Linked DNA regions of Caenorhabditis elegans. The protein of the gene in region 2 purifies or fractionates together with the protein of the main gene of each other region. This does not show direct contact. Each region holds a gene or a part of one and is shown on either strand. Other genes may lie near its edges.

Region 1 (4,607 bases), 1.9 Mb from region 2:
GGCCGTGCTTAAGCCATTGGAATAATGCGGTAAGATTTCTTTTTTACATAAGTTTGAATTTTGCGTGCTGTGGAGCGCATTTGCATTACAAATATATGATTTTTAGGCACAACTTCCAACATGCGAGTATTTCGAGGCTGACAATGAATGCAAGACAATGCCAATAGAAAATATATGCGGCCCCCGTGCCGTCAAAGAAATGCTGGATAATGAGAATTTTATTCGTGAATATTTTGGATGCAACAGGATCTACAAGCCTTCAAATAATTCTAGTAATAGCTTGAAAATCAAAATTTCAGGTAATCCTAATTCGAAATGAAGATGTTTGAAGAATGAAGGCAATTTTGAAACTTTTATATAATGCAATTTTGTGCTATCAACTAACTAAATGTTGACCAGATGACAACTTTTTCCTACTTCTCAACATTTTAGAGATAATCTCTGCAAGCATCTCAACAAGTCGGCCGCAGAAAAAAATGACCAATTTTTCATATATCGTTAAAAACAAGCTATCAGCTCACAAACTATCTCAAAATGGATGTATCGCAAATTTTGAATGCACTTTTTATTTAAAACATAAAGATGCACTATTAGCTAGCCCCTACAGTGGGGCTGAGCTCCTTTTGGGGCTGTGGCTGGTCTCCAGCCCCACTTTTTGACGCCGTCTGCGCACTTTCCGATAAATAGAAAAGAAATTAATCGGCGCAGAATGTGCGCAGACGCCTACCTAGTGGCACACAGGGTTTCGTTCGTTTTTCGCATATTGAATTTGTGGAATAAATATATAAATATAATAAATAAATAAATAATAAATAAATAATAAATAACTATAATAAATAACAGAGACAGTTTTATGATAGTTTGTTAGAATTTTAAAAATAAAATAAATCGTTATGGCCAATGTTTTCTTAATGTCCTGGTCATTTATAATTTCAACCAAGATCCCGGAAATCCAAACAAAGGAAATCGATACATCGAAAAATACAGAGAGTCCGCCCATATCCTGAGTTGGGCTTCGTTTCCCGGTTAAAGTTAAAATAAGGTTAAAAAAAACAATGAACACAATATAGGTGCTTTTCATTTGATAAAAAGGGGATCAACCCCCGCGAATCGGAATGTCGTTTGGATACATTATGGCTGATTTTCACAAGTCATCACTTTGACCTTATCCTCATTCTTCAACATATCCTCCCATGCTTCATCTCCGCATTGCTCTTGAACAACCCGTTGAAGCTCTGAAAACTCGTCAGGTGTCAACCAGCACTTTGGTTTATCCTCTCCAATCGTCGTGTTTTTCAGAGTAGTTACGTCGAATTTTGTCTGAAATAAAATGTTCTAGAGGATCTTTTTCGGAGAAGCTTGTAGGTACCTTTTCCATGCATTTACTGAATGGTCCGACTTTTAAGCCCAAGTCTTCACAGGCGGATCTCATGAACATTGTTCCGAATCTCAAAATACTTTTTAGTAGCTCTGGGATTTCCATTGATTCTACGCAGTTCTGAAAACTTTTAATTTTTTAAATATCAAAAAAAAACTAAAAGTGATGTACCAAATTTTGGGCGTGGCCTCTGATGCTCATAATTTTTTTGGGAGCCGTTAAACGGGCGTGGCCTTTCGTTCCGCCCACTTCTTGGTTGTGATCACAGAAGCTCTATCCAGTAGGCTTCCACGCAGGCGCAGAGAAGCCTACCTCGCCCGCCTTGTGGCGACCAAACCATTTTTCCGGAAATTGGTAAATTGGCAGATTGCCGAAAATTTTGGGCAAATTGTGCTTTTGCACAATTTTTTAAAGGAAATTTCAGAATTTCAATTTCAATCGGCAGATTTGTACGTACCTTATAAATTTTCCTACATATATTTTGAAAAGTGAGCAGATTCTATGAAAATATTTAAAGAAAACGGGAAAATTTTCAAAAAAGCACAGTTTTAAGTGTTTCCGTCTTATGAAAAAATCCCTTTAAAAACTTCCGGCAAATCGGCAAACCGGCAATTTGCCAATGTGCTAAATATTCCTTCTCGCCATTGTGTAGAAAAATGTTGAGAGGCCAGAGGCTGAGGCGGGCAGGATGAAGGCAGGCCCTGAAACCGCGCCTGCCTCCCATGGAATTTTTTTTGGCATTATTTGAAACGAATTTAATGTTCACAAACTACATTTGAGAAAAATTGGAAATCGGTGGCCGCAGAATTTCTAGGCCACCTACTACTTTTGCAGAAATTTTTTGTTGAAAATTCAATATTTTTCGAAACTCTATTTTTCAAATTTTTGCTGAAAAAAATAAAACTAACCGTTGTGTCAATGCACATATGATAAAATGTTTCCAAATTACCAATTTTCACATTTTTGCCGTGTTTCGTAGTTTCCAGCTTCAAATTATTCAAAATATTCTTCATTTTGTTGAGCTTCGTGAGACAATTTTCATAGTTTGTTTGTTGCCCGGAGACAATGGAAAAAACGAAGAAAGTCGAGAGAAGGAACAAGAGAATTTTGGCCATTTCGGTGTATAAATATTGAATAATAACAATTGAATAGCAGAAGAAGAAGAAATGACCTATCGAAAGATATATCCCTCGTCTCCGTGAAGATATATCTTCCCGGGAGATAGTCTCTGAAGTCGGGAAAACAAATATTTTGAGGTCAACGGATTCATATTTATTAGGTATAGAAATATCGATTTTTCCAATGGAGAGATGGGGAAAATCGACTTAAATTTTTTTTGTAGTTTTTTATCTGCCATCTATATTTTTTAAAGGGATATGCCAAATTTGTTCAAATTTTTTTCAGAAAAATTCAAAATTTCTGAGCAAAAGTTAGTGGGGAATTAAAATTTGAAACAACGGAATTTGGTGGAAAATTTAAATCTTCTGTGGCAAATATTGGCGGGAATTTCAAATTGTTTGAGTTAATGGGAGGGAATTCAAATTTTCTGAAACAAAAATTTTGGCGAGTAAATTCAATTTTTTTGAACAAAAATTGACGAAAAATTTTAATTTTCTCAGAAATTTTTTTGCGGGAGCTTGAAATCTTTAAAGAAAAACATTTGCGGGTAATTCAAATTTTTGATTTAAAAAAACTTGACGAGAAATTCAAATTTTCTGGGAAACTTTTTTTTTGGCGGAAAAATTGAATTTTCTGAGGAGAAATTAGTGTTGAATTAGAAAAAAAATTTTTAAACAAATTTCTGAAACAGAAATTGGCGGAAAACTTGGTCACACCACATTTTCTTAGGCCATCTGTGACGTCACTCCTCTTCCAGCCGAGATCAACAAGAGACCACTGTAAAAATTATCTAAAATTTTACTTAAAATTTATTTTTCAAAAATATTAAAAAGAAAAAAATTAAAATTAAAAAAATGTCAATGACCGTGCTGACCTTTCTTATCAAATAATCAAATCTCAACTCACGGGACCACAAATCTTGTTCGGCGAAAAATCAATTATTTCGAAATTTCGACTCTTCACAATGAGCTTGGATATGGAGCACCTCCATGGTGCCATGAATTACCGTGAGTTTAGGAAAAGTTGCCGATGGTTGCTGAGCGATCGCCGAGGATGTTGTCGGAGCATTGCCGCTTCTGTTGCCGGCGTGTCTACAAAAATCAATAAGTGTCATAATGGTTGCTGACAATCTTCAATAACTCCGATTTTATTGATTGCCGGTAGTCGCCGGCGGTTGCCGATAGTGGCCGGCAGCAGCCATTACTTGTAACAAATGGATTTTTTTTTCGATTAACGATAGTCACCGCTGACCGCCGGCAATGAAACTCTAATTTTATTGATTACTGATAGTCGCCGGCAATTAACAATAGTTGCCGCTAAGCGCCGATAAATCCAATTTTGCCGGTTCGTAATAGTTAAAGGCAATGGCGACAGTTGCCGGTAATTATCGATTGCCAAAAGTGCCGGAAATATCAATTTATCTCAATTTCCTTGTTTTTCAGTGTGTTTCGCTGCTGCTGCGTCAATTTCTGGAGCGATCATTGCCGTCGGCTGTACCACCGGACATCGTGAGAATTCGCGTGGTGGCAAAGGAAAATCGGCGAGATCAAAGCGATCGAAACGATCAAAACGAGACAAGAAGCAAAACTCGAAGAGACAACAAAACTCGAAACGACAAAAGAAGATTAAGGTGAGTGGAAGAGTTATTTCTCGGCCACTGTAACAACCATCTTTTCAGAGCAATTCTGCCGCTCCGGCACCACCGGCCAAGAGTGGAGTGCCTGCAAAATCGGCGGAGAAGGCAAAGGAAGGATCGCAGAGATCGGCTCGACTCAAGAAGGAGCAGAAGTCCGAGAAGAAGAAGGTTTGTGTAGATTTACGGAGTACAGTGTATATTTACGAAGCTCTTTTGTTTCAGAAGGAGTGATCGCAGAGATCTGCAAGATCGAAGAAGGAGGGATCACAAAGATCGAAGAAAGCGTCTAGCGAGAAGCCAGAAGTCGAGAAGAAGCCGGAAGAGCCGCCAGTCGAGGATGAAGCGAAGACTCCACCAGAGAAGCCGAAGGTTGAGGAACCGGCTCCGGCTCCAGCTCCGGCTCCGGCTCCAGCTGCTGTTGCTCCAGCTCCACCACCGCCAGAGCCAGCCGTCGTTCAACCGGAAAGCCAAGCA
Region 2 (3,490 bases):
TTTGTATTTATGAAAAAGTTTCCACTGGCTCAAAGATTTTCTCCAGGCGCATTTTAGGATCCCCGAAAATCTGCTGTTTTTTCTAGAACATTTTTGAAATTTTTAAACAAAAAAAAATGATTTAAGCTTTTAGAATTAATTAGAACAATAAAAAATATATTACAATTTTCGTTATGGAAAAATTGAAATTCCTGATCCACATTTTTGTAGATATACCTGTTCTCGCCTATTTTCAAAATTTTTTGAATATTTTCTGTTCTCTCTGCAACATATAAAACTTTTTCCAACTTCGCTGTTAACAGAATAACATAGTTTTTTTGCCAGAATTATTCAATCCTAATTTTTTTTTTCCAGGAATTCCATTCTGTTGTCAGTGAGAGAGAACCGCGTTCAAATCAGAATGGGCTCACGCCTCTCATGTTCTTGCTCACAAGCCGAATGCTGGACGAATGATGAATCTACATTGAGGTTTGTTTTTTCTTTGAGAAATATCTATCACTACTTGTCATTCACACAGTTGGTTCGTGTTTATTATTCTAACACTCTGAAAAAAGATAGATATTATAGTTATGGTTAGAATAAACAAAAAGAGTGTGCGAAGGGGAATTGGTATTTGACAAATTGTAGATTGGATGAGGGGGACAAAAAATAGACAAGATTCTGACCGAGATGTCATTAATTTTCGTCAACTAGACACTTTGTTTCGGAAAAAAAGACAGTGGAGAAGAATAAAACCAACTTTTACATTGAAACATTCAAAATTTTAGTTTCTGCTATAAATAATAGAAAAAAGGTTTTTCAGTTAAATTATTCAAATTTAAACTTTATCAACGCAAATCTTTATTACAAAAAACTTAAATAATCTATAAAAACTGAAAAGCGACATTAATTATTCAATAAGAATTTTTATGAGGATTCATTCCATGAACCAAATGATGTACCATTTCTTCTGCATCCATTTCATCTTTAACCGTATTGATTTTCTCGTTTTGCTGATTTCGAATAATAAAATCAGAGGCGTACGCGTCGAAATATGATTTTTGTCGAATAAGTGAAAGAGTTGACTCCATTTTCGAACGATGTCTCACTGATTCGAGAATTCGAATTTTCTCATTGAGCAGCATGATCTTTGTCATTTCTCTGGAAAAATTTTGGAATTGCTGAAAAACTGTAGAAATTCAAATAAAAAACTAACGTGATAAGAGTGTAAACTGAAAATGACCACAATAAAAGGATGAAGCATTTTATATGCATCAGAGCTTCTTCGTCTTCAACTTGTTGCATTTCTTCCAATGTGTGGATTGCTGGAAATTATTGATTTTAGAGGTGTAGTAGAAAATGGGTTCTCAAAAATTTCAAGAATTTTTGAAAAAATTATTGTTCGCCAGAGATATGACTCTAAAAACTATATCTTAATTAAATGTTTTTATTTTACTCACTTTGAGAATATGTAGGCGGTAGGTAGGCAGGAAAGTATTGCCTCGTATCATTTTTTTGATTATAAAAACCTACGAGTTGTCTTAGCAATTGTGATTGCTTCAAGCCACAGCAAAACGCAACATGCACTGACACAAATCATAAGGAACACCACTTTTATTATTACCTGAAAATTTAAGATTCATTCGTATATATATGCTTATTTACTTTGTTCAAAACTTACTTTAAAAATAGAACAGACTGTAGAGCGAACAATCGAATTATTCCATTGAAATCCTAGTCCATCAATCTGAAAAAAAAATTGATTAATATATTTTGATAAAAAGAAAGATTACCAGGTCAACTTTTTTAATATTCAAAGGAACATCACCTGGCTGGGCCATTTTTGAAAGTTTAGACGAAAAAGTGAACAAATAGTTTTCAGAATTTTAGTTTACGCGATGGCGAATTGTTGGTATTTTAAGGTTCACGTATTGAAAATGTGCAATACTTTAAAATTTTGTTAAATATTGTACCTTACGATAGAAATGTTAAAGCTGAAAACTACATTCAAAGAGTATCAAATTTAAAAAAATTTTTAAAGTTGTTTGTGTTTTGCTCATCTTGCTAATTTTGCTCAAAATTTTCTTTGAAGGACTTTCAGTGAACATTTATTTACTGGAACACTTCGGTATGCTGTATAACCATATAAGTTTCCAATTAAATCTAAACCCGGGGCGGGCAAACAATTTTTCCGGTAAATAGGCATATTGCCGGAATTGAAATTTCCGGCAAATCGGCTAACCGATCCTATGAACCTATGAATGTTTGTACATCTATTTTGAAAAGTAAGCAAATTCTATCAAAATATCTAGAAAAAACGAGATAATATTTCGAAAAAAAGGCACATTTTTAATTGTTTCCGTCTTATAAAAAATCCCCCAACTTCCGGCAAAATGTTGTTTGGCAAACGGCAAATTGGCAATTTCCCGAAAATCAAAATTTCTGGAAAATCGGCGAACGGTAATTTGCCGATTTGCCGAACTTGTAGACAAAAAAATTTCCTGAACGACAATTGCCGCCCACCCCTGATCCAAACTACTCAAATGAAGGAGGTCCCATCTCAGTTTGGTGAATTATAGTTGATATGAGACACAGGCATATAATTGCCAAACGATGCAAATCTGCCAATGAATGTTTCCGGCCAATTGATTTCTTAAATCAAAAGGAACAAAAGTGTGAAGAGAACTAATTAAAAAAGTGTTCATTTCTTAATTATGGATTTTATTACTCTATTCGATTCCATCAAGGACACGAACACTTTTCTTCAAATAAGACACTTTTGTCATTCAAGTGATCTCATCCTTTTGTTTGAATATGCCTTGTGATTGTGTAAGAGACCTTATTGAAAACAAATAAGTATCACTTGACATTTATTACAACTTAGAAGATTGACTCTCACATCCAATTATTTTCAGAATTGACGCGGAGTTGTTTGAGTTATCACAGGACGGACAAAAGTGGGATAAGCTTGACGGAAGGCTGGCCAACGTGAGTATTTATTGTCATTTTATGGCTTCTTTTTCGCGCACAATGTACCCTGTAGCATCTTAAATTTCGAAAATTTTTGGAAAGGCTCCCGGTTCTTTTTTTTTTAATGCAGACAAGGGGTGTGCGCCAAATTCGGCAAATCGACTTTTTTTTACTATTCGGCAAATTTTCCATACATCCCTGGTGCAGACATTAACATTTTTTAAACGAAATATTGACTTTGGAGGTAGGCCAAAAAATATGCGTTTTTAATCAATTTTTCAAATCAAAATATTACGAAAATGTAATAACAAAACTTGCTGCTGTCTCGAAAGTAGTTTTGTAAACCTTTACTGAATTTTTGGAATGAGTGGCAAAGTGTTTTGCGAGGCTCGTGTTCAAAATTGTATTCCAGTTTTTTTAAAAGCTAGTCCAAACACTTGACTAAGTTGTAAAATGTGGAAGTGGCTGGTTGGTTTTGTAGTTTTTGAGATTTGGAAAAAATTCAAACGAAGAGATATGTCAAAATCGAGAAATTGCTTTT

The links.
Region 1: the proteins of T21E12.5 (region 2) and Y23H5B.8 fractionate together in Caenorhabditis elegans (co-fractionation; one large-scale study listed by BioGRID). This does not show direct contact.

Annotation. Positions count from the first base shown.
Region 1 is NC_003279.8:2,545,835-2,550,441, forward strand, and holds Y23H5B.8 (T20D4.11-like domain-containing protein), read right to left. Parts: upstream 2,566-4,607; 5' UTR 2,494-2,565; coding exon 2,287-2,493; intron 1,499-2,286; coding exon 1,370-1,498; intron 1,321-1,369; coding exon 1,132-1,320; 3' UTR 552-1,131; downstream 1-551. Other genes in the region: Y23H5B.3 (T20D4.11-like domain-containing protein), read left to right, coding at 1-29, 107-319.
Region 2 is NC_003279.8:4,411,402-4,414,891, forward strand, and holds T21E12.5 (Guided entry of tail-anchored proteins factor 1), read right to left. Parts: upstream 1,842-3,490; 5' UTR 1,821-1,841; coding exon 1,773-1,820; intron 1,727-1,772; coding exon 1,661-1,726; intron 1,604-1,660; coding exon 1,513-1,603; intron 1,305-1,512; coding exon 1,196-1,304; intron 1,141-1,195; coding exon 894-1,140; 3' UTR 824-893; downstream 1-823. Other genes in the region: tiam-1 (DH domain-containing protein), read left to right, coding at 401-468, 2,895-2,967.